Mus musculus: one gene and its partners. The protein of the gene in region 4 binds, or shares a complex with, the protein of the main gene of each other region. Links are inferred from orthologs where the notes say so. Each region holds a gene or a part of one and is shown on either strand. Other genes may lie near its edges. The genes, in order: Map2k3, Akap13, Nod2, Map3k20 and Mapk14.

Region 1 (4,950 bases), on a different chromosome or scaffold from region 4:
TTACAGGAGAACAGGGGTAACGGGGCCTATGCAAGTCTTCCAGGCAACAGCTCAAGAAGCACAGAGCCATGCTGACCTACCAAGGGCATTTATACCAAGTCGCATCCTCAGAGCCTTCTTGTAGGCATCACTACCTGCCCTCGGCCTCAGCTGGCTCTGACTACGTGTTAGGGAGCTCTCTGGGCACATTCTCTCAGCTTACAGCTGAGATAGCAGTGCAAACAATGTGGAGCCTGCTGCTTCCTACCCGGTCATCTCTACTTCGGGGACCATCACTTGGATGAGTGAGTCAGGTTGCCTCTACAGGGGCCTAGCCTAGGTGGCCATGGAATGAAGCACCTCAGCCCAGCACCTTGAGAGCACCTGTGGCCTGTGGCCAAGTCTGAGGCCCTGGTGGGCTGGCAGCCTCCAGGCCCTAGCTATATTGTCCCGGCATGGTCCCAGAGTAAGGATTCCGCCTAGGGCTCCACAACTCCCCAAGAAAGAGCAGGCTTGCCACAGTCAGTCTCACACGATTTTTTTTTTTTTTTTTAATTAAAACAGCAATAGGTTCCTGCCCAGGAAAAGGCTGGAAGAGGCAGGCCTTTCTTCACAAAAATAGATTTTCTTCTTTTTTTTTAAAAACACCACCAAAGTAAACCTATTAGCTTCCAAGAGCTGGTCACACCTGGAGAGTTGTTACAGCTCCCTCGTGGCTTTGAGCCAAGAGCTTGAGCCATCCTTGCAGACTCCAGTCCGAGCACTGGGCGGCTGTGAGCCTGCTGGCACCCAGGGTTAAGTGGTCAGCTCCAAACCATGCAAGAAAACCCAGCAATACCCACAAAGCAAAAGGCAACAGGAATAATAGTTCAAAGGGAAAGGCAGATACCACTAAAGGTGGTAACCAGAGGCTGTCTGAGGACAGTGTGTCCCTCAGAGACCATTGGCCAGTGCTGGGGGGAAGGCCTTGGGAAGCTCAGTACGTCTCTCAGGAAAGTCTTAGGAGATTCATCCCCATAGTGTGTCCTCAGCACCTGAGACAGGATAGAGATGTCCCTGATCCAGGCCACAGTGTACGAAGTCCATTCATTCAGTTGTGATTTAAAATATATATACAACCTGCATGGCATCCAGGACAGTACCAAGGCTATGGCCTGTCCAGAGAGACACCAGCTGCCTGCTCTTCAGAAGCGACAGCGTTTGCCGGGGTACACAGGCCCTGTCAGATTCATCCCTTGGGTAGAGGCCTGAGACCCTGGGAGCAGCAACAGCAGAGGCACTGTGGGGCACATATGGCCTGGCTGGGAGCCCCTGAGGTCTGGTTCTTTGGCACTTGGGACAGCTAGTTGCAGAGACCGACAGGAACAACCCCTTAATTTCTCAAATGCCCAGGAACAGAATGGCAGTAGCTTATGGCTGTAGGTAAGTGCTGCCCCAGCACGGATGTATGGATGCTGGCAGACCAGTGGGGTCCTGGGCCAGTCCCTATGAATCCTCTCCCAGGATCTCCTTCACAAAGGCAGCAATGTCTGTCTTCTTAGTTTTGTGCAAGGTGAAGAATGGGTGTTCCTGGTAGGAAAGAGAGGTACAATTTCTAGGGGTGAAGGGGCACAGGAGAAAGTATAAAGGAGAGGTTCCCTCTTTTCATGCCCCTCCTACCTGGCCAACTCCTGCTGGTCCATCCAGGACCGCTGCCCCTCGAAGCCCTCCAAAACCATCAAAGCTTGTGACTCTGCCTCACCCTCCTACAAGAGTCCCTCCTGCCACACAAACATCTCTTTCCTCAAGGGTACCAGACCTCTGCCCTACCAGACCCTCTACCCTTCCTTCATTAGCAAAGAGCCCATACCCATCCTTCCAGGCTCAGCTCAAATGGCATCTCCTCTAGGAAGCCTTCCCTGATGCCACAGTGACTCCTGTGCCCCACTGTCACAGCCCCGTGCACCTTTCCACAAGGCCTGGGGTACAGGCATGGGTGAAGGTGAAACTACACAAGCACATGCAAGGGCCAGGCAGAAGAGCTACCTCTCTACCCTGGAGTGCAACCCTCTTCCAGACAGTCCCACCCAGCCCCACCCAGCCACTACACAGCACAGGGGACAGGGCAGGTACTTCTCGTGCACACTCACCATCAGCTCCAGGTAGCTCATGCGCTCTGCAGGGTTCTTCCTTAGGCTAGGAAAGAGGGCAGTGAAGACAGGCTCACACGGAGGAAGCGAATCCAGACAGGCTGGGCTTGCCCCCATTGAGCAGCACACTCCTGGGGCTCAGAGATGGAGCAAACTGTCTGGGAGTCTCGCCAAGTGGCTTGGGGTCCGTGGGTACTAACTCTATAGTCTTGCAGCAACTTTCCCTGCCTCTTGGAGACCAGTGGTCTCTATAGTGACCCAGGCTAGGTCTGTGGCACCAACCCCAACATGCTCTGCCAAAACCACAGACTAGATTATCCTTTATCAGAAGGGAGGACTCCAGTCATTGGTTCCGGAACATAAAGTCCAACCAACAAGAGGCAAACTAATCAATGACTTTGTTACTGGTCTCCTGGGCCTGCAGCTTTTCTTGTTTTCTGCTGAGAGGCTTTGACTTGTCCTCTGAGCATCTCTGGGCCAAACATGCAAAACATTGGTTTGCTCTCACTAGTTTCCTCTTAAAAATGTATTTTCTAAATCTCTCTTATAACCCAAGAGTTATAAGAATACTTTTACTTTCCATGCAGTTATTTAATTATGGTTAGAGAGCTCGTCTGTATAACTGCTTTTCTTACTCTTTTGTAACTTCAAACATCTTTTTTTTTTTTTTTTTTTTTTTGAGACAGGGTTTCTCTGTATAGCCCTGGCTGTCCTCTAACTTACAGAGATCCTTTCTCTGCCTCTCAAGCGCTGGGATTAAAGATGTGCACCACCACTGCCTGGATCAAAAACATGACTTTTCTAAAACCTCTATGAACTTTCTGTAATTCAGTAAAAACTTCTAAACAACAAAAAAGCAACTTCATTATGCATTTTAATGTTCCATAATATATGTTACTACACACAAACACACACACACACACACACACACACACACACACACACACACATACACACACAAAATCCCTCTACTCTTTGGGGCTACCTGATTCATCCTTTTCTGCAAAGACTAGAACTAAAAGCTACCACTGGGACTAAAACCTTTTACTCGTGCTGGAACTAGCTTTACCTCCTGCCTTCTGATACCAGGTGGCTCAAGGGTTATCTTGCTGCAGAAGGAGGGGACACAGCCCAGATACTCACCACTGGCTAGTGAAGTCCACAAACTCAGGGGAGAACTGGTCCGCTGGGAGCTGTGGGGATGGCTCCTCCACCACCTGCTTCAGCTGCTGGAACGGTGTGCCCCAAGACTCATAAGGGAATCGCAGAATGGCCATCTCGATCTGAAGTAGGGACAGCAGTCAGCAGGTTCATTTGGTACCCAGAAGCATGATGAGGAAGGGATTTTACCCATAATTCCCCAGCACCCCAGGCCAGGCCTTGGTATGAGGGCTGACACTGACTGCCCTCATACCAAGCAGCAGGCCAACTAACTACTGAAGCTCCTCTGACTGGACTGGCAGACCTAGCTCAGACTAAGGCTCACCCTGGGCTGGGTTTAACCCTTACTGGTTTTTTAAATTTTTTTTTCAAACACTCTAAAATTGGATGATTTGTATTTAACAACTTGGGTTCCAGACAGCGTGTCAAACATGAGGAGTGGCAGCCACATACACCTTTCCCATAAGGTGGCAGTAATCAAAGTACCTCACTGGGTCCAGTCCTAAGCCCCTGTTGGCCCAGCTACTTCCTCTTCAGTACCTCCCCAACACAGACTTCAATATCCAGGGCCACCTATCCAGCTGTTGTTTTTACTAGTTAGGCCAACAGGGAGTGGCGGACTCCTGCATGGATACCTCCTGACGGGTGCAGTGGAAGGCCTCAGTGACAGGCTGTGACCACCATAAGGAATGGAGGAGACCTCTATAGCAACTGCAACTGGCCCTACATAGAGCACTAGAAACTATTCTGATGAGGGACTTTCCTGTCAGGTTCCATGCCTTTCCAACCAACGTGGGAACAGCATGAATGGGAAGACAGTGTGTGTCACATGTGTGCCCGCCCACAGGACAGAACTGCATGCAGCATTTCCAGAATCTACTGCAGGACCTTTCTGCAGACTGCAAGAGAAAGCTCAGTAGCACCCATATACCTAACCAAAAAGCACCAGAGTATGGACCTCAAACATCTTGTCTGTTTTTGGCTTTTCCAGACAGGGTTTCTCTGTGTAGCTCTGGCTGTCCTGGAACTGACTCTGTAGACCAGGCTGGCCTTGAACTCAGAGATCTACCTGCCTCTGTCTCTGCCTCTTGGTATTAAAGGTATACATTACCCTGCTCAGCCTGATGATTTTTTTTAAAGAGTTTAGAAAAAGATAAATAAAAACTAACTCAACACAAAGACATATAAGACAGTTTACCTATCACAGGACCCCCCGGGAGCCAGCCCCCTATAATGACTGAGCGTCAGAGACAGCAGTGGAGATGGTGACACCACTCAGGGCCTTCTTGGTTCAGAGTGTGACCTGTGTCTGTGCAAGGTAACTCCCTTGTATTCTGAGACACAGGAAATTTGTGTGCCCAGAGCTCCCAGGGCAAGAGGGATGCACTGAACCGTACCGTTGCAGCATTTTAAGTGGAAATGTTGGGCCAAGGATAAACATAAGTGGTGAACCTGGAGGAAGAGGTCCTAGAAGACAGTCCAAGCCTTGCTCCTGTTCCTGGGGCCTGAAAACCCTACTGTAAAACCCTGCCTTCAAGATAAAGCCTCTTTAAAAATAACAAAATGTCTTCCCCAATAGTCATGAGATCAATCATGGGAACTTGGACAGTCTCAAAACATTTAGGCAGGAGGAACGAAGAAAGTGGACAGCATATCTTGGTAACTGTGACTCCTGACGGTC
Region 2 (4,192 bases), on a different chromosome or scaffold from region 4:
AGGCCGTGCATGAGACTCTGAGTTCTGTTCTGGCATCCCATCTGAACTTGGGCCTGGCATGGTTAAATCCAAAGGTGATGCTGTCTTACAAAAGCCTGCTATGGAAGTATCAGGTTCTTGTCCACCTAAAACCTTGTTTTCTATAGCAGCAGCAGGAAGCACCGGGGAGCTCTGGTCACTTGTGGTTCCCCCCTCACAGCCTCTCTCTTGAGTTTCCATTCCTGGTTTTTCAGTGGGGATTTCTTCAGAACTCAATGCAGGTGAAGCCTCAGCAGGAGTGTTAACACCTACGGCACTGGTGGCAAAGACATGGTTTGTAATATCGGCTTTCTCCATGGGTTCACTTAAAACTTGAACAGCAGTTGTTTCAGTTGTGCTACTGTCTGAATTCTCAAGTCTTTCCTTTGTGCCTTCCCCTACTTGAGGCTTATTGTTCTGGGTGGTAGCATCTGGGGTAAGCAGGCTATGTTCCAGTTCCCCTGCCTTTTCTGGGGCACCAACATCTGTTGAAGAGCTGTCTGGTAGCTCCCTTCCAGAAGAGTGCTGGCATGCATCTGGTTCTGTGACCATGGCATCCTGCAGCACACTGCTCCTGCTGCTCAGTGGCTGCTGACATGTGGCTACTCCAGAATAGTTTGTTCCAGTTACTTCGTTTCTGTTTCCACAGGATGGAAGACCTTCTCTGCCCTTCACTCCACAGTCGGGTACGCTCTGAAGGCAGCTGTCTTGATGAGATGCAGACCCGGAGTCCATGGCAGATGCTGGCTCCGCCTCTTCCCCCTTTCTCCCCACATCTTTATTTTTCTTATGAGAACAGATGACATTTTCTTCCTCAACCATGCTTGACAAATCACAGGAACTTTCAGCCATCCTCCCAGGACTCCTTTGGCAGCACAGAGTGCTCTTAGTTTCTTCAAAAGGAGGATGCTGGTGGTCAGAAGGCTCTGGTACACAGGGAAGGAATAGGCCATCTGTCTCTGGTACACTGGGCACACAAGACGAATCTTGTGCTGTCACCATTAATGGCATGAGATTGTCCATCTGCTTCAAGTTTGTTTTCTAGGAGGAAACCAAAGATACCTTTTAAAAATTGATCATGAAAAGAAAAGTGTGTGTGGGGGGGTGTGCTGACTAAGAGAAAAAGATGTCACTGATACCTGTAAGCCAAGTCTTGTTGGACAAGCACTGTCTTTCCGGGCCTTCTATCCATCTGCCTCAAATACCGATGTAAAGACACAGTATAATCAGTTTTAGAACCCCTTTCAAGCAAAATATTCAGCCACGTAACTACATTCCCAAAATATGTTCAATCCAACATATCTACGCTTTTAGAATTAGGAATTCTATGTATCAGTTAGATAAAAAGTGGGTTTTGTGCTGTCCATACAGCATATTAAAGAAAAGAGAGTGTATACTATTAGCCAAACCAAACTCTTAACTACTGTCAAGGGTGTTATGGCTTGAGGGCACTAAAAATATGATCAAAAATGGTTTTTAGCACCTTAAAATTAATTTAGTTTTGCTTGCATCTTTTCTGAGACAAGGTCTCACTATGTAGAGAAATTTGCTATATAGACTGGCTAGCTTCAAAACGCCTCAACCCTTCCGTTTCTCCATCCTAACTACTGAGATTGTACCCACATTACTATGCATAGTGGAAAGGTTCTTAAAAATTAATTATATGAACAAATACAGCAAATAAGAAAGAAATGGCTAAAACAATCACAGTTCATCAATGTTATAAAAATAACACAACACTGTTATAGGAACTATGAAGACAGCCTAACTATCTAATCTAGTCTTCTGCCCCTGGAATGTGTGTGTGTGTGTGTGTGTGTGTGAGAGAGAGAGAGAGAGAAAGAGAGAGAGAGAGAGAGAGAGAGAGAGAGAGAGAGAGAGAGAGAGAGAGAAAGAGAGAGAGAGAGAGAGAGAGAATGAAAAAACTAAATAAAATTTACAGTTGATCAGAAGTTATTAATTAAGGGGGGGGGAAAAAAAGACCGAGGCGATAGCTCTGCTGAAGAATGCATACTTCTCTTGCAGAGGGCCTGAGATTTCTATTTTCAGCACCCTACATCAGGCACCTTACAAACACTTCTAATTCTAGCTGCAGGGAATTTGATACCTTCCTGTTTGCATTTATCTGCACATACTCCCCCACAACACACATGCATGGGGGTGGGATGTTTGCACACATGTGTGTGCACACACACAAAATTAAAATAAGTCTTAAAAATAAATAATATAAAAATATCATAGACGTACAGACAAGGCTCAGGAAAATAAAAACAAACAAATAGGATTGCACCTTTAGTGAATTTATAATATCAAAATTCAGATATAGTGCTATTTATTTGGTACATAATTATTTTAAAATATCTGTTCTCCATTTCTTGTCCTTTATAATACCTTTAATACAGTCATTAGCATGCCTCACTTATCTGTTTAATCTGTAAATATACTATATCATCAGATTGTTCCTACTAATTAAAGGTATCATAAAGTCTGCAAAGAAGAGTATAGTCTGCTATCCTTGCTAAAGTCCTTTTGTTAGAGTGTACTAAAAACCAGATTCTCACTAAACACGAGTATGCTGTATCCCTTAAGAGTACACTCCTTCTAATAGTTAGGGCAGTAAATCAATACCCTTAATTAAGAGTGAGCACTGCAGACCAGGGAAGTAGGTAGGCAGTGCTGTTTCAAGAATGCCCAAGATATAAGATACAATTTCCTAAACACATGAAACTCAAGAAAAATGAAGACTGAAGTGTGGACACTATGCCCCTCCTTAGAAGTGGGAACAAAACACCCTTGGAAGGAGTTACAGAGACAAAGTTTGGAGCTGAGATGAAAGGATGGTCCATGTAGAGACTTCCATATCCAGGGATCCACCCCATAATCAGCATCCAAACGCTGACACCATTGCATACACTAGCAAGATTTTATCGAAAGGACCCAGATGTAGCTGTCTCTTGTGAGACTATGCCGGGGCCTAGCAAACACAGAAGTGGATGCTCACAGTCAGCTAATGGATGGATCACAGGGCTCCCAATGGAGGAGCTAGAGAAAGTAGCCAAGGAGCTAAAGGGATCTGCAACCCTATAGGCGGAACAACATTATGAACTAACCAGTACCCCAGAGCTCTTGACTCTAGCTGCATATGTATCAAAAGATGGCCTAGTCGGCCATCACTGGAAAGAGAGGCCCATTGGACATGCAAACTTTATATGCCCCAGTACAGGGGAACGCCAGGGCCAAAAAGGGGGAGTGGGTGGGTAGGGGATTGGGGGTGGGTGGGTATGGGGGACTTTTGGTATAGCATTGGAAATGTAAATGAGCTAAATACCTAATAAAAAATGGAAAAAAAAAAAAGAATGGGAGAAACAACACTGAAATGGGCAAGCTGAGTTCCCTCAGATGATCAGCCATTAAATCAGAGAGGAAAAAGTAACTTCCAAAGAGTCCATTTATATGAAAATGACAGGCTGGAAATAGATATCTTTCAAAAAGGCAGAAGAAAGCTGGAGAGATGGCACAGCGGTTAAGAATACTGGCTGCTCTTCCAGAGGACACAGGCTTTCCTTCCAGGACTCACATGATGGCTCACAACCATCTGAAACTCCAGTTCCAGGGGATATGATGCCTTCTTCTGACCTCTGAGTGTACTGTATGCACGCAATATACACAGACACACATACGCATACAATGCATGAACGTGATACACAAACATTCATGAAAAGCAAAACAACAAAACAAACAAACAAAAACATAAAAAATATTCCAAAAAGGAAAGACAGCCAGAATAAACCATTTCATATCATCATAGTGTAGAATTTGTTTGGCTTGCTCGTCTCAAAAATAATGCCTCTGGCATTGAGCTGGCCCTAGATGACCTCAAACAAAATTATTATCAGGCTGGTTCCAAATCAAATTAGCTCTGAAATAAACGGGGTGGAAAAATGATCTAAGATTAGCTTCTCAGATGCTACAGATCCAGCCATGTGACATCCATACCATCCACAATAAATGCTACTAAGACTCTGTAATAATCTTATGTCTGGCAACCATTTTATCTTCAGTGCTTGAGTGGATTATAAAATCCTTAGTTTTCAGACGGTCTTTTTAACTGTCAACTATCTACGTAAATACGGCAGCCACGTCATCATTCACTGGACAGCAGTGAAAAGGTTCT
Region 3 (4,192 bases), on a different chromosome or scaffold from region 4:
AAGACTGGGGGAGTACCAGGCTTGCATCCTTCTGCAACTGGTGGCTTCTTCTCCCAAGTAGAGAAGGACACTCCAGTCACACCCATCTTGCTACTCAAGCCTCAATTTTCCCATCTGTGAAATGGAACATAGCAAATACCCACTTCTCAGAACTGTTGGTAAATGGCAGAAAATTTCCATAGAGTGTATGCCAGGCTGCCTGGTACATTTTAGCCGTGTCACCGGAGCCTCTCTCACTGCTCAGCTGAGCATACCATGGATGAGACTGCACCTTCTAAGTCTGCCTGGTTATGAGTTCCAGATCATGAGAAACTACGTTTCGTGGATTGAGAGATCCTAGCCCTATCTGTGTCTGGTCTAGAATGCAATTTGGACAGCAAGATGTACCCATAGCTGGCTCTCTCCACACGCCTTGGCTCCAGGGAGTATCATGTGGTTTGGGGAGCAAGGAAGGGGGAGAGCCGCCATGCCCTCATCTTTTCCATCTTCACTGCTGTCAGGTTGCTGCTAGGCTTCAGATGCAGGAACTGAGTCTGGAGGACGTCAGGCATCCATCCATGGACGCTAACTGCCTTGTGCTTTGCTCTTTAACCAGGGGTCTGTGTTAACCAGAAGGACAAATACGTACCCTCGTAAGGCAGAGGCAGTGGAGCTGGTAGTTCCCTGACGTGCTGTAGAAGGAAGGCAGCCAGTCCATTGGCCTTCACCGCAGCGAGATCAAGCAGCCTTCTTGCCTACAGACAACAAAGAAAAGGCCATTGCTATTTTCAAGAAGGCCGAAGGAAGAGGAACAGTGTGGGAAGGTTTCTATTAAAAGTTGGACACCCCTAATCTGAAGGTCCCAAGTCCAAATGCTCTTAAATCCCAACCATTCTAAGTGCTGACACAATGTCACAACAGGAAAATTGAAACATCGTGTAGAATTACCTTCCAGCCATGTGTGCATGAAATATAAATGACTTCTGTCGTTAGACGTGGGTCGGGTTGCCAAGGTATTCATTGTTTATGTAAATATTCTAAAACCCAAAAAATTTTCTGAAACACTCCTGGCATCAAGCATTCAGGATAAAGTAAAAACTACCAACAATACAACCAATACACAGTCCTCTTCTAGCATAATGAGAGCCCAGAAAAACAACTGCTCTACCGTCTGCATTTAGCAAACAAAGATGATGTAGTCGTGGTTTGTGAAACAAACACACAGCCAACCTGGCTTCCTCCCAAAACCCACTGAGAGAATGAATAGCTAAAAAATTAAAAGCTAAAAAAAAAAAAAAAAAAAAAGACCAAACAAATACATAAACCTACCAACGGACAAAAGCAAGCAATGATTTTGGAAGCTATAGACCCCTGGAAGGCTGGTGTTGTACCAAGTCCCATGGCCTGGATGCTTAAACTCTCTCTCTCCACAGAACCCACTTTCTTCTCCAGCCTAAACTATGCTCTGAGTCTGGGACCCACACCCCTAACTGCCCATTTTTTTCCTTTTAAATGTGTCATAAGTATGTGCGCGTGCATGCACACACAAACACACACACACACATGCTGGTCACACACGCACACACGCCTTTCCTAGTCTCTGCTCAGGTCTCCTCAATCCTTCTAGTTGTTCAGCCCAACATCTGAGGTCACCTTACAGTCCCTTCTCTGCACATTGTCAGCACATCCTGTAGTCTCCACCTTCAAAGTACCAGAATCAAGCTGTCTGACAGAAATAGAGTCCAGAGCACACAAGCAAGGTATATGTGCACCAAAGCCTAACAGCCACATGCCTCAGTGACAAGTATTGGGTGTACTTGGTCATAGATCATACTTTACCACAACACGCAAAATCCTGCCATTTCACCACACGGTCAACATAAGAAGTAGTGGAACGTGCTGCTTTTTAATCTCTTTTCTGTTATGTCTTCTAGAGTTGGTACATTTAGCTGATGGCTATGGAGCCCTGTATGCACATGAGGCCTACTGCCATCTTGCTCCAAGGCACATCATGGCTTACCCAGAAACTGCACAGCTGCCAGTCTCTGCACAATCCTTGCCTACAGCCTATTCCATCCCCCACACCACAGTCAGAGGAGAGTGCCTGCTTCCTAGTCAGAGGTGAGTATTTTACAGGTTAGTCACACAAGCATAGCATAAACATCCCAGCCATGGCCTGAGTCCAATGGTAAACACTCCAGAGCCAAAGTAGACAAGCATCCTTGTTTGTGACCATGTAAACCCAGACTGCATCTCTTCTTGACTGCTTGACTGCCTTGGCCCCCTCCTCCCCTTGAATGCTCCACTTAGCATTGGCCTCCCTCTCATTTAATGAGCATGCCCAGTGTGCTTCTACTTCAGGACTTTGCTCTAACAGCATCTCTGGCTAGAGTGCTAAACCCCACCGCTGGCTGGCTAATTCTCTCACCCACTTTAGTCTTTTCCCAGCTCCTATCTTCTCACTGAGAATACTCTAACAACCTTTCAGGAAGGTGAAGTCACTACTTTATACCCTGGGGACTCTCAACAGACAGATCCACTCCTTTATTAATCTTCCATTGCACAGGGCACCTTCCAAACTCTGCAATGCTTGCTTCTGCTATGATCTATCTCCAGCTGAGGTATGAACATCACAACAAAGTTTTCTGTTGTATTCACTGATTTAGTCCCAATGACAGAGGCAGTATAAAAGGACTCCTACTAGATAAACAGACAGATAGACAGATGGATGGATGGATGGATGGATGGATGGGCAGATGGATGGATGATGGACAGATAGGTGGATGGTTGGATACATGAGTGGCTGGGTGGGTAAGTAGGTGGATGGATGGATAGATGGATGGATGGATAGATGGAATGGACAGATGGATAGATGGATGGATGGATGGATGGACAGGTGGGTGGGTGGATGGTTGGATACATGAGTCAATGAATGGGTGGGTGGGTGGACAGACGGACAAACAGATGGACTGATGGGTGGATGGATGGATGGTAGATAGATGGGTGGATGGATGAATGGATGGGTGGATAGATGAATGGATGGGTAGATGGATGGATGGATGGATGGATGGATAGATGTGGGATAGATGGGTAGATGGATGAATGGGTGGGTGGGTGGGTGGGTAGGTGGGTGGATGGACAGATGAACAGATGGATAGACAGATGGATGGACACATGGATGGATGGTAGAAGACTTCTTAAGGCTAAGTCCTAAGACCAAAATGTTGCTGTTGAAAAGCATGTCATGTGTACCCTACAGTCTGCCAAGAGCTCTGGCATGGCAGTATCAAGTATGTCTTCCCCACTCCAAAGCATGACCCAGCCACTCACTGTCCCTGCCTGTCATACTGCCCAAAGATCTGCATTCTGAAAGGATGAAAAAGGATCCCAGGACTGGGAGAATCCAGGCACAACTAGAAAGTGGTTGCCATTCCCCCAAAGCCAGAGTTTAAATGACTGTGTGTAAAATATGTGCCAAGGTTACCTTTCCACTACCCAGCTCACTCATCCTCCAGGTTCCCAGACCTCTACAATCATACCTTTACCACAGGCAGGAGGCTTTTTATCTGAAGAAGCTGGTAAACCCATGAGAAAAATTCTACAGAAATAAACTACTATATACACTACTATTGTCTAACCATCTACGGTGAAAGTCACTGTAGACAGGTTTCACCTGGTTGCTCAGGATATTTCAAAATCTGTCTTTTTAATAATAAGACAGATAACCAAGGCTTACCTATGCCCAAAGAAAGTGTCAAAATGGGAGATCAGAGACAAATTAATAGAGAAGGAATGGTAACTTGAAGGTTCAAAGGTTTATACAAGTAGTGAGTGATGTCACACAGTGGTAGAATGATTGTTTAGCATGTGAATGCTCTGGGTTCCATCACTAGCACAGAAATGGATATATATAGCATGAATCAAACAATGCAACTAATCATATAAATAAAAAAACAGCCATTAATATCATCTTGTCTACATTAAGGATTACATTCCCTAAAACAAGATCAAGTTGCTGTAATAAAGAAACAGTAAAAATAGCTTTTACATGCTGCAGGTGTTAAAGCATAGATGGAAACCTCAAGAATTCAGGGTTTAAAATACCATACAGAAAACAGCAAAAGATAGCTGTGGTGGATTATGCTTGTAATCTCAGTACTTGAGAGGCTAAAGAAGGAGGATTGCCCCAAATCTGAGGCTAACCTGTGCTACA
Region 4 (4,192 bases):
TTAAGAGGAATTAGATATTTAATGCTGTTGCTACTGTTACCATCTAGCCCCTTTAAGACCCTAGACTTTAGCTAAAAATATACAATCCATTTTTGAAATTGTTTCCAATCGCCATCAGGATTCACTCGTCCATAAGAGGTGCCACGGTTTAGGGAGCACTGGCCCAGTGGAAAAGCCCCACATATAAGGACGCCAGCCCGGGTGTGGACTGAAGAGGGAGAGGGGTGCACTTGACGTGTGGTCCTTTCCAGCCACCTCCCCCTACCTCAGGAAAAGGGGGGGGGTGAGCTGTTTCTTACAGCAGTAGTGTCCTTTTGCGAGGTAATGTGTAAAGCAGAGGTGGTGTACACAGCACAGAGGGCAATGAGACCCAGAGACTCAGAATTGCCCATGATGCTCTGGTCTTTAAAGGGATATTCAACACTTCAGGGGGAGAACCATCTTCAAACAAGGAGCCACAAAGGATTCCTTCCAGCAGCAGGAAATGCCCTACCAGAGGCTACTTCCTCCCAAATGATCCTTAGCTGGCTCCTCCCTCGACTCTAGGCTTGCTTCTGCCTGCTGGCATCCACCTGCTTTAACCCCTTAACTTCACCACTTGTTTTCGAAGCATTTACAGCAGACCTGGGCAAGGCTATCTGGTCTAACAACATGTTCTTTTGTAGTTTCGGAAATGTACAAGTTTAGCTCGCTTGGCAGCTCCTGTCTGTCACACGCCATGTGGGCATCTATTATAAGCAAGCATATTCCAAGAGATTTTCGCAATATCAGTGAACTGCACAGCGGCTCTACAGTGGTGCTTCCACCCAGCTCGACAGCGTGCCCGGCAGGCCTCGCGCTGGTCAGGCTCTGCATTATTTGTTTCTCGGAAGCAGTGATGGTTCTTCTTGTTGTAGGACAGATTAGCTCGGGGTCATAAGTGATCAAAGCATACATTGTGACAGCTGGAAAGCCCCTCCCTAATGCTTCCACTGTGGATGACCCAACTGTCTCAGGCACAAGGAAGCTAAACTGTGGCCATTTTCTTCTCTAAGCTGTTGTCCCTTCCTATGTCCTTTGGTAAGCAGGAAATGAGAAACGTACTCACCACACCATAGGAATACGTGTCACAGGTTTCAGACACAGGGAGACTCTGGATAACTTCTGGAGCCATCCATGGGAAAGTTCCAACCAAGGACATGTGTGTTGTGTGGTTATGGAACCGCGAGGCACCGAAGTCACAGATCTGAGGACAGAGGAACCAATGTCAACTTTCTACCCAGTGCTGACGGGAGACTGTTAGTCACAAAGCCATCATCAGAAATGGACAACTCTCTTCAAATGATAAGAAACAGTCCTACCTTCAGCACTCCGTCAGCAGCGATAACAACTGGAAGAAAATGGAGAGAAAGTATGATAATCATTTCTGTTTGAATCACCTTAGCACCAAAGAAAAGTATGGCGTCATGTTTCTAACGTTGAAACCACTACATTTCTAACTTCACGATATAAGCTGGGCGTGGTGGTGTGTACCCAGAATCCCAGGCTGAGGCAGGAGGACTACCACGAGTTTGAGGTGAGCCTAGGCTGCACAGCAGGAACTAAACCTGCCAGGGATACATAAGAAGACCCTGTTCCAAATGCGCGCATTTGTATAAAACAGGTACAGTACCTCATGGAGTTAAGCTTTTAAAAAAAATGCTATCTGCCTAATAGGAAGGAACTCACCAATTCTCTAGATATCTTCATTTTATGTTTTATGATATAAAATCCTGTCTTTGTCTCTGTCTCTGTGTGTGTGTGTCTTTCTCTAAGTCTGTCTGTCTGTCTGTCTGTCTCTGTATGAGTGTGTGTGTATGTGTGTGTGTTCTTCACAGTTGAAGATTCATTTTCTGAAAGGTGAAAACAACACTTATGCATCCATGTGCTTGACAACAGTGTTGAGTACCCACTGGGGTCAAAGGTCACTGCGGCCTCTCCTCTCCTCTTCTCTCCTCTCCTCTCTTCTCCTCTCCTCTCCTCTCCCGAAGTCTTCAGTGCATCAGAGAGACCATTAAACATCCACAATGAAGTGGGGGTAAGTTGTATGATGAGAGAAAGAGTTAATAAAGAACCAACCAAGAGGACCACCTAAGCCTGGGGAGGTTGGATGAGGTCTCTGGCGGGGATGGATGCTTATACTAAGACTTGATGACAGGAAGAGGGGAGCCTGGGAGGGCGAGGAGTTTCATCCACGAAACATTCAGGTGCAGGGTAAAGGTGCAGGCATTCTAGAAGACAGAAGCCAATCCAAGAAGAGGTCTTGTGGGGGATGGAAGGCCACAAAGAATGTGACATGGAAGATGGGCAGGAGGGAGACTTCAGGGGGCTGACGGCCTGCATAACAGCACAGAACAAGAGGCAAGGAGCGGGCTGTGCATGTGGGTGGCTGTGGTCTGAGAGAGACATGGAGTGGGATGGTCAGAGGGAAGGCCAAGGACAGAAGCCTAGGGAGGGTGTCCGGGACTTGTGTAGTAAGCCACTCTGTGCCTTGAGCATGGTGGATGATCAGTACAGCAGATGTTACTAGTGGGTTCGGTAACTGGAGAAAATATCCTGTGTGATCTAATACATATAAATAGTCTCAAAGTAAATGTGGGCTGGCAAGAAATGAGCTACATGCTTGTGGCAAACAAAAATGCAAATAAATACTACTGTTGTATTCAGTTGGTCTTAGATTATCTCCCTGTTCCTTTTTCCTGACATAATATTAGCAAGTGCTTATTAAAAAAAAAAACAATAAAAAACTTAATATGGGGGCTGGAGAGATGGTTCGGTGGGTTTAGAAGCACTTGTCATGAGAGCCTGGTGACGGGAGACAGATCCAGAGACCCATATAAAGGTGGGAAGAGACAACCAACCCCACAGTGTGGCTCTCTGACTTCCAAGAGCATATCATAGCACATGTATGCCCACAAACACACCACACACACACACACACACACACACACACACACACACAGACACACACACAATACGGGTTTATTGTTATTACATTTTATTTATTCATTTTGTGTGTGTACACAGTGTTGAGGCATACAGGCCATGGTATACACATGGAGATCATGAACAACTTGTGGGAGTTGGTTCTCTCTTTCTGTCATGTGGTTTTTGGGGATTAAGCTCAAGTTGTCAGGCTTAGTGGCAAGTGCCTTTACCCACTGAGCCATCTTGCCAGCCCAGAACTAAAGTTTTCAAAAATATTACAGAAGACAAAATCTCACTCCACTTCCCAGTAAAAACAAATTGCCAAAGTTAGGCTGGTATTCTTTTGATATTAATGTATATTCTTTCCTTTTAACTACATAAGTTGTAGTTTTTTTAAAATGAGAAATTCTCCATTGTTAAATATCATTTTCATGCTAACTACATAGGTTTTAAAACATCAGATAACTTGTTTATATCAAAACTAATAGCACAAACTGAAATTGTAGTCACATAACTCTGTCACTTCATCCCGGAGGGGATTAGATTATTTTCTAATGACTTCCTGTTAGCCTGCTCTATATCACAAGATTCTGTCTCAGAAGAGCCAAAAAGAGTAGGAGAGGGTGGGACAGTTTGCTGAGCCAGCTGACTGGGTTAAGGAGAGGCCAGGGTGGACTCTCAGGAGAGCAGCTGCCTACAACTTCCTGTCTTTCCTGCTCTCCACCTGTCAGACCAAGGCCTGCAGGTCCTGGGTGTGAGCAGAGCACCTGGGGCCTGCCCAGGCTCCTCCTGCCCACCCGCAGTCACCACCCATTCCAAGGATCACACTGTTGGCAAATTCAAGTTCTAGCTTCTGTGGTCTTAAGAGTTCTAAAAATAAACGCTTTCCTTCTCCCTGCCGAGAGCCGCTAAAAATGTAGAAATAACTGATAGCAAGGACTGTTTCCTGCCTTGAGCGGCAAACTCCGGTGTTTACTTAGCTAGGTCCACCAAAGCTAACTAATCCTAGTGCCTTTCTGACAACTCTGACGTGACATAATGGAAGAAGGTAGTGTCGAACCCGGCATGCTATTTTAAAACGCTCATTTTCCAAATGATAAATATAGGCTTATAAAGTTTAGGAATGTACAAAAGAGGAGAAAGGAAAAAAGAAAGCCGAATGCCCTTATGTTCTGAATGCCCAAGCATGCTGGTCATTTTTGGGCACTATTCCAGGTACTATAGGTATGCATGACCAAAAGATGTA
Region 5 (4,192 bases), on a different chromosome or scaffold from region 4:
TAGAAGGTGAAGCATGTGTCGCTATGGTATTTCTAAAAGCCCAACCAAAACCAGTTGCAGGCTACTAGAGTTTTACAAAACTCCTCCTGAAGATGGATTTTAAGCATCCGTTTTAACATTTTCACCTAACACCCTCCTTAAGCAGAGCTGGTGGGCGTTCTCACAATCACATTAAATGATATTATTCCTAAGCCATGGGACAAGTGCCCAACAGATAGGAACGAGTGCTTAGTGCCCAAAACCCAGATGGTGCTAAGTATGGGACTAAAGTGGGGCTGGCTCTAAACAGGGACAACAAGGTGTAGAGAACAAGAGCACACAGCAGGGCCTCTCTCTTCCTGCTTCTTTTGTTGGTTGTTAAGCAGCAAATAGGACAGGACTCAGCGGGCGTGTCAGCAGAGGGACCCACAGTCTGTTTAGTACATAAGCAAATGTGAGAACCAGATACCTCTGAATACAGGTGGCCGTGTACACTCACCAAGGATTTTCAGGAATAGACTAAACTCATTAATAAAGGGACTTGCTGCAAAAATATGACAGGTGAGTTCTAAGCTTGTTTTCTCAACCCCAAAGCCTTTTCTTGGCAAGGTGAGCAACTCAACAAGAGGACAGACCTCAAAAGCCACGCTGGAACTGCAAAGAACTGAGTCTTCCCCACCAATGAGTTAGGGAAGCACACATCTACCACAGCACACACATGAGAAACAGGGCCAAAACGTGTTAAAGGATACGGTCTGTACCAGGAAACAACGTTCTTCCGGTCAACAGCTCAGCCATGATGCAGCCCACGGACCAAATATCCACTGGAACAGTAAAGAGGATACAAGCACCGACATGGTTTCTATTCATATTCATGGACACAAATGACTCTAACTATGAGTGAGAGATTCAAGTCAGGATTTAAGACACCCAAGGTTTGACAATCTTTTTTATATAGAAACAAACTTATTAAAATTGTCACTCAAGAAAAGACTCCACAGGTCGTGCAACTCAGAATATAATTAAGATAAAAGAAATAAGCAACTCACAAAGGGGCAAAACTTTGTTACTGGTAAATGGTGAATCCTCCCAGGAAACATAGGTGTTAGGATTAAGAGACCACTCCCCTCAGGTAGTGTCACAGAAAGAATGACACGGAAGACGTAAGAAGTAAGGCCCCAGCTGCTAAGTCACCTGAAAGCCATGTTAGGGAGCACCCCTTCCCCATCTGGGGAGGCGACTGAAGCAGTCAGTACCTGTCTGGTTATAGTGCATCCAATTCAGCATGATCTCTGGGGCTCGGTACCACCTGGTAGCCACGTAGCCTGTCATCTCATCATCAGTGTGCCGAGCCAGCCCAAAATCCAGAATCTAAGGGCAAGAGCAGAAGTCAGGCATGGGAGCAGCAAGTTCTGCTACCTCACAACCAGGAAAGCAGAAAAGTCACTTTCAGAAAGAGGGCACCCCAGTTTTCACTTAGAATGCATGACATGATAAAACACTCCAAGAAACTTTAAAAATAAAGCTTCAAGCAAAGCAACCCCCCCCCCCATTTACTCAAGGATAAAAACATATGCCCACACGGGTGTGCACAGGAATGTTCACAATAGGTTTATATTCCGAACCACAAGTGCTCACTAATAGGACAGCAGCGTACAAACTTTGGTGTGCTTATGAAAAGGAAACTGCTGAACAACTGGGAATGCTGGAGCACACAATACAGATGAGCACACAATTCAGTAATGTGCATGACCCTCGACAGTTCCATTTATACGAAACAAGATTAATCCAGAGTCAGAATTGGGTCAGTGGCTGCCTGCATTGAATGAAGGGTGAGAGTCATGGGTCACTAGGAGGGGACACTCAAACCTTTTGAAACTATGGAGGTTACTATGTCATCACTGTGGTTACATGGACATTACAACTCTACTGTAGTCTCTCCTCCCCCAGCCTGAAACCTGCTTGCTCAGGGGTGGAGCTTCCCGCTCATCTGTTCTGTCACGCCCACTGCTAGAACCTGCGGAGCCACACACGTGCACCTTTTTACTGGACCAGAGATTATTTGGCGGAAATCGGGTCCCCTCCCCCTTCTTTTATAACTAGTGTCCCAACAATAAAATTTGAGCTTTGATCAGAATGAATTTATCTTGGCTCCGTTTCTTCTTTCGCCCCGTCTAGATTCCTCTCTTACAGCTCGAGTAGCCTTCTCAGTCGAACCGTTCATGTTGCGAGCTGCTGGCGGCCGCAACACTCTACAAAGAAGTACATTTCTTTTCCTTTTCCATTTCATGTACATGGGTGTTTTGCCTGCATGGATATCTGTGCACCAAGTCTGTGCAGTGTCCACAGAGACGAAGAGTGGGCATCAGATGCTCTAGATGCAGATGGCTGTGAGCAGCCATGTAGCTGCTGGGAAATGAGCCATCTCTCTAGCCCCCTGCAGACATTTCAAAAAATTCATTGCTGGGCAGTGGTGGCGCACGCCTTTAATCCCAGCACTTGGGAGGCAGAGGCAGGTGGATTTCTGAGGCCAGCCTGGTCTACAGAGTGAGTTCTAGGACAGTCAGGGATACACAGAGAACTGCTGCCTTGAAAAACCCAAATCCAAAATAAATAAATAAATAAATAAATAAATAAATAAATAAATAAATAAATAAATAAATAAAATCATAAAAAAGCATAGTGCTACTTCCTTTTTTTCTTTTTCTTTTTTATTAGATATTTTCTTCATTTACATTTCAAATGCTATCCCGAAAGTTCCCTATATCCTCCCCCTGCCCTGCTCCACAACCCACCCACTCCCGCTTCCTGGCCCTGGCATTCCCCTGTACTGGGGCATAGAATCTTCGAAAGACCAGGGGCCTCTCCTCCCACTGATGGCTGACTAGGCCATCCTCTGCTACATATGCAGCTAGCGACACAAGCTCTGGGGGGTACTGGTTAGTACATATTGTTGTTCCTCTTATAGGGTTGCTGACCTCTTTAGCTCCTTGGGCAGCTACTTACTTTTTTTTTTTTTTTTTGTATGCTGCTTTATTGTATGCTACAGCCAGTGTATATAAAATAGTTAAACCTTGTGAGACAGAAACCCATGGAATTCAGAGAGGTAGATGTTAAGGACTGACGAGCAGAAGATAGTGTATTATGGCACGTGTTAAAGAGAAGCTTTTGTACAGACTTCAAACTTAGCTCTCTTGAATAGTCACTGGTTCATGAAAAGTGGTTTGAGAAACCTCAAGATAGATGACTACAAAAAGGAGCAGACTTTCTGGGGTCTGAAGGGATTTGTACTTGAAGACCCTCCAGTCAGCAGAGGGTCATGTTGAGCATTCTGCAGACAGAACTGCTTCAAGCCTGCAGCTGCCAGGGAAACCTTCACGCGGTTCAGCCCGGCCTCCAGCCGGAGCTGCTGAACCACCTTCTTCATGGCGGCAACGCTAGAAGAACCCAACATGGCGCTCGGGACAGCAGGGCTGACTCGTCAGTCTGGGCAGGGGGCAGCCTCTACTTACTTTTTAAAGACTTAATTTTAATTTACTTAGGTTTTATTTAGATCATTCTGAGATCTGCAATTTTTCCTTTTAGGAACCTATCTAATTATCAGTGTTCCAGGAAGGCTTAACTGACATTTAGACTATAATATCCCTTTATTACAATTAATGTGTTGCATTTCTAATTTAATTATCTTTTAAAAATGAAAACAAGATACCGACATCTACTTCCAAAGTTACTTAAACAGCTTGTTCAGCCTAGTTCAAGTCTCACAGTCTGATATTCCTAAGGACAAATGACTTTTTAGATAGCAAGTCGTGGCTTAAGTGTGGTTGGTCACGATTCTGGGGAACACTTAAGAGAAGCAAACAGTCCATCTCTTCTTTCTTACCTTGAGCTCACAGTCTTCGTTCACAGCTAGGTTGCTGGGCTTTAGGTCCTGGAAAGCAAGCAGAGAGAGCTTATCAACAATGCACAGAGTCTGCTCCCTACAGGTCCTAAAGATGCACACATGTGGAAGAGCTCTCAGAGAGAAAGGCAGACTCCAAGCCTTGAGCAGGCAAATGGCAAGTGTTCCTTTACCAGGTCTACACTGAGAACAAGGTTGCAGAAAATCACTATTTCAGTTACAAGGCTGAGATCTGAACTAGATGTCACTCTTCTAGCCCCACCCACACTACCAAAATAATTACCACGTCAGGTATAATACATACCCTGTGAA

What was found.
Region 1: Map3k20 (region 4) and Map2k3 share a complex: the UniProt entries of both Homo sapiens proteins name them as parts of the signaling complex. The link is inferred for Mus musculus from reciprocal best matches to the Homo sapiens genes MAP3K20 and MAP2K3.
Region 2: Map3k20 (region 4) and Akap13 share a complex: the UniProt entries of both Homo sapiens proteins name them as parts of the signaling complex. The link is inferred for Mus musculus from reciprocal best matches to the Homo sapiens genes MAP3K20 and AKAP13.
Region 3: Map3k20 (region 4) and Nod2 share a complex: the UniProt entries of both Homo sapiens proteins name them as parts of the signaling complex. The link is inferred for Mus musculus from reciprocal best matches to the Homo sapiens genes MAP3K20 and NOD2.
Region 5: Map3k20 (region 4) and Mapk14 share a complex: the UniProt entries of both Homo sapiens proteins name them as parts of the signaling complex. The link is inferred for Mus musculus from reciprocal best matches to the Homo sapiens genes MAP3K20 and MAPK14.

Annotation. Positions count from the first base shown.
Region 1 is NC_000077.6:60,948,362-60,953,311, reverse strand, and holds the end of Map2k3 (dual specificity mitogen-activated protein kinase kinase 3), read right to left. Parts: intron 3,392-4,950; coding exon 3,252-3,391; intron 2,155-3,251; coding exon 2,109-2,154; intron 1,549-2,108; coding exon 1,465-1,548; 3' UTR 501-1,464; downstream 1-500. UniProt on the Homo sapiens protein: Dual specificity kinase. Is activated by cytokines and environmental stress in vivo. Catalyzes the concomitant phosphorylation of a threonine and a tyrosine residue in the MAP kinase p38.
Region 2 is NC_000073.6:75,605,352-75,609,543, reverse strand, and holds part of Akap13 (A-kinase anchor protein 13), read right to left. Parts: intron 1,060-4,192; coding exon 1-1,059. UniProt on the Homo sapiens protein: Scaffold protein that plays an important role in assembling signaling complexes downstream of several types of G protein-coupled receptors.
Region 3 is NC_000074.6:88,657,081-88,661,272, reverse strand, and holds part of Nod2 (nucleotide-binding oligomerization domain-containing protein 2), read right to left. Parts: intron 735-4,192; coding exon 629-734; intron 1-628. UniProt on the Homo sapiens protein: Pattern recognition receptor (PRR) that detects bacterial peptidoglycan fragments and other danger signals and plays an important role in gastrointestinal immunity.
Region 4 is NC_000068.7:72,368,904-72,373,095, reverse strand, and holds part of Map3k20 (mitogen-activated protein kinase kinase kinase 20), read right to left. Parts: intron 1,370-4,192; coding exon 1,341-1,369; intron 1,226-1,340; coding exon 1,088-1,225; intron 1-1,087. UniProt on the Homo sapiens protein: Stress-activated component of a protein kinase signal transduction cascade that promotes programmed cell death in response to various stress, such as ribosomal stress, osmotic shock and ionizing radiation.
Region 5 is NC_000083.6:28,725,515-28,729,706, reverse strand, and holds part of Mapk14 (mitogen-activated protein kinase 14), read right to left. Parts: coding exon 4,185-4,192; intron 3,911-4,184; coding exon 3,863-3,910; intron 3,482-3,862; exon of another isoform or gene 3,003-3,481; intron 1,351-3,002; coding exon 1,236-1,350; intron 804-1,235; coding exon 732-803; intron 1-731. UniProt on the Homo sapiens protein: Serine/threonine kinase which acts as an essential component of the MAP kinase signal transduction pathway.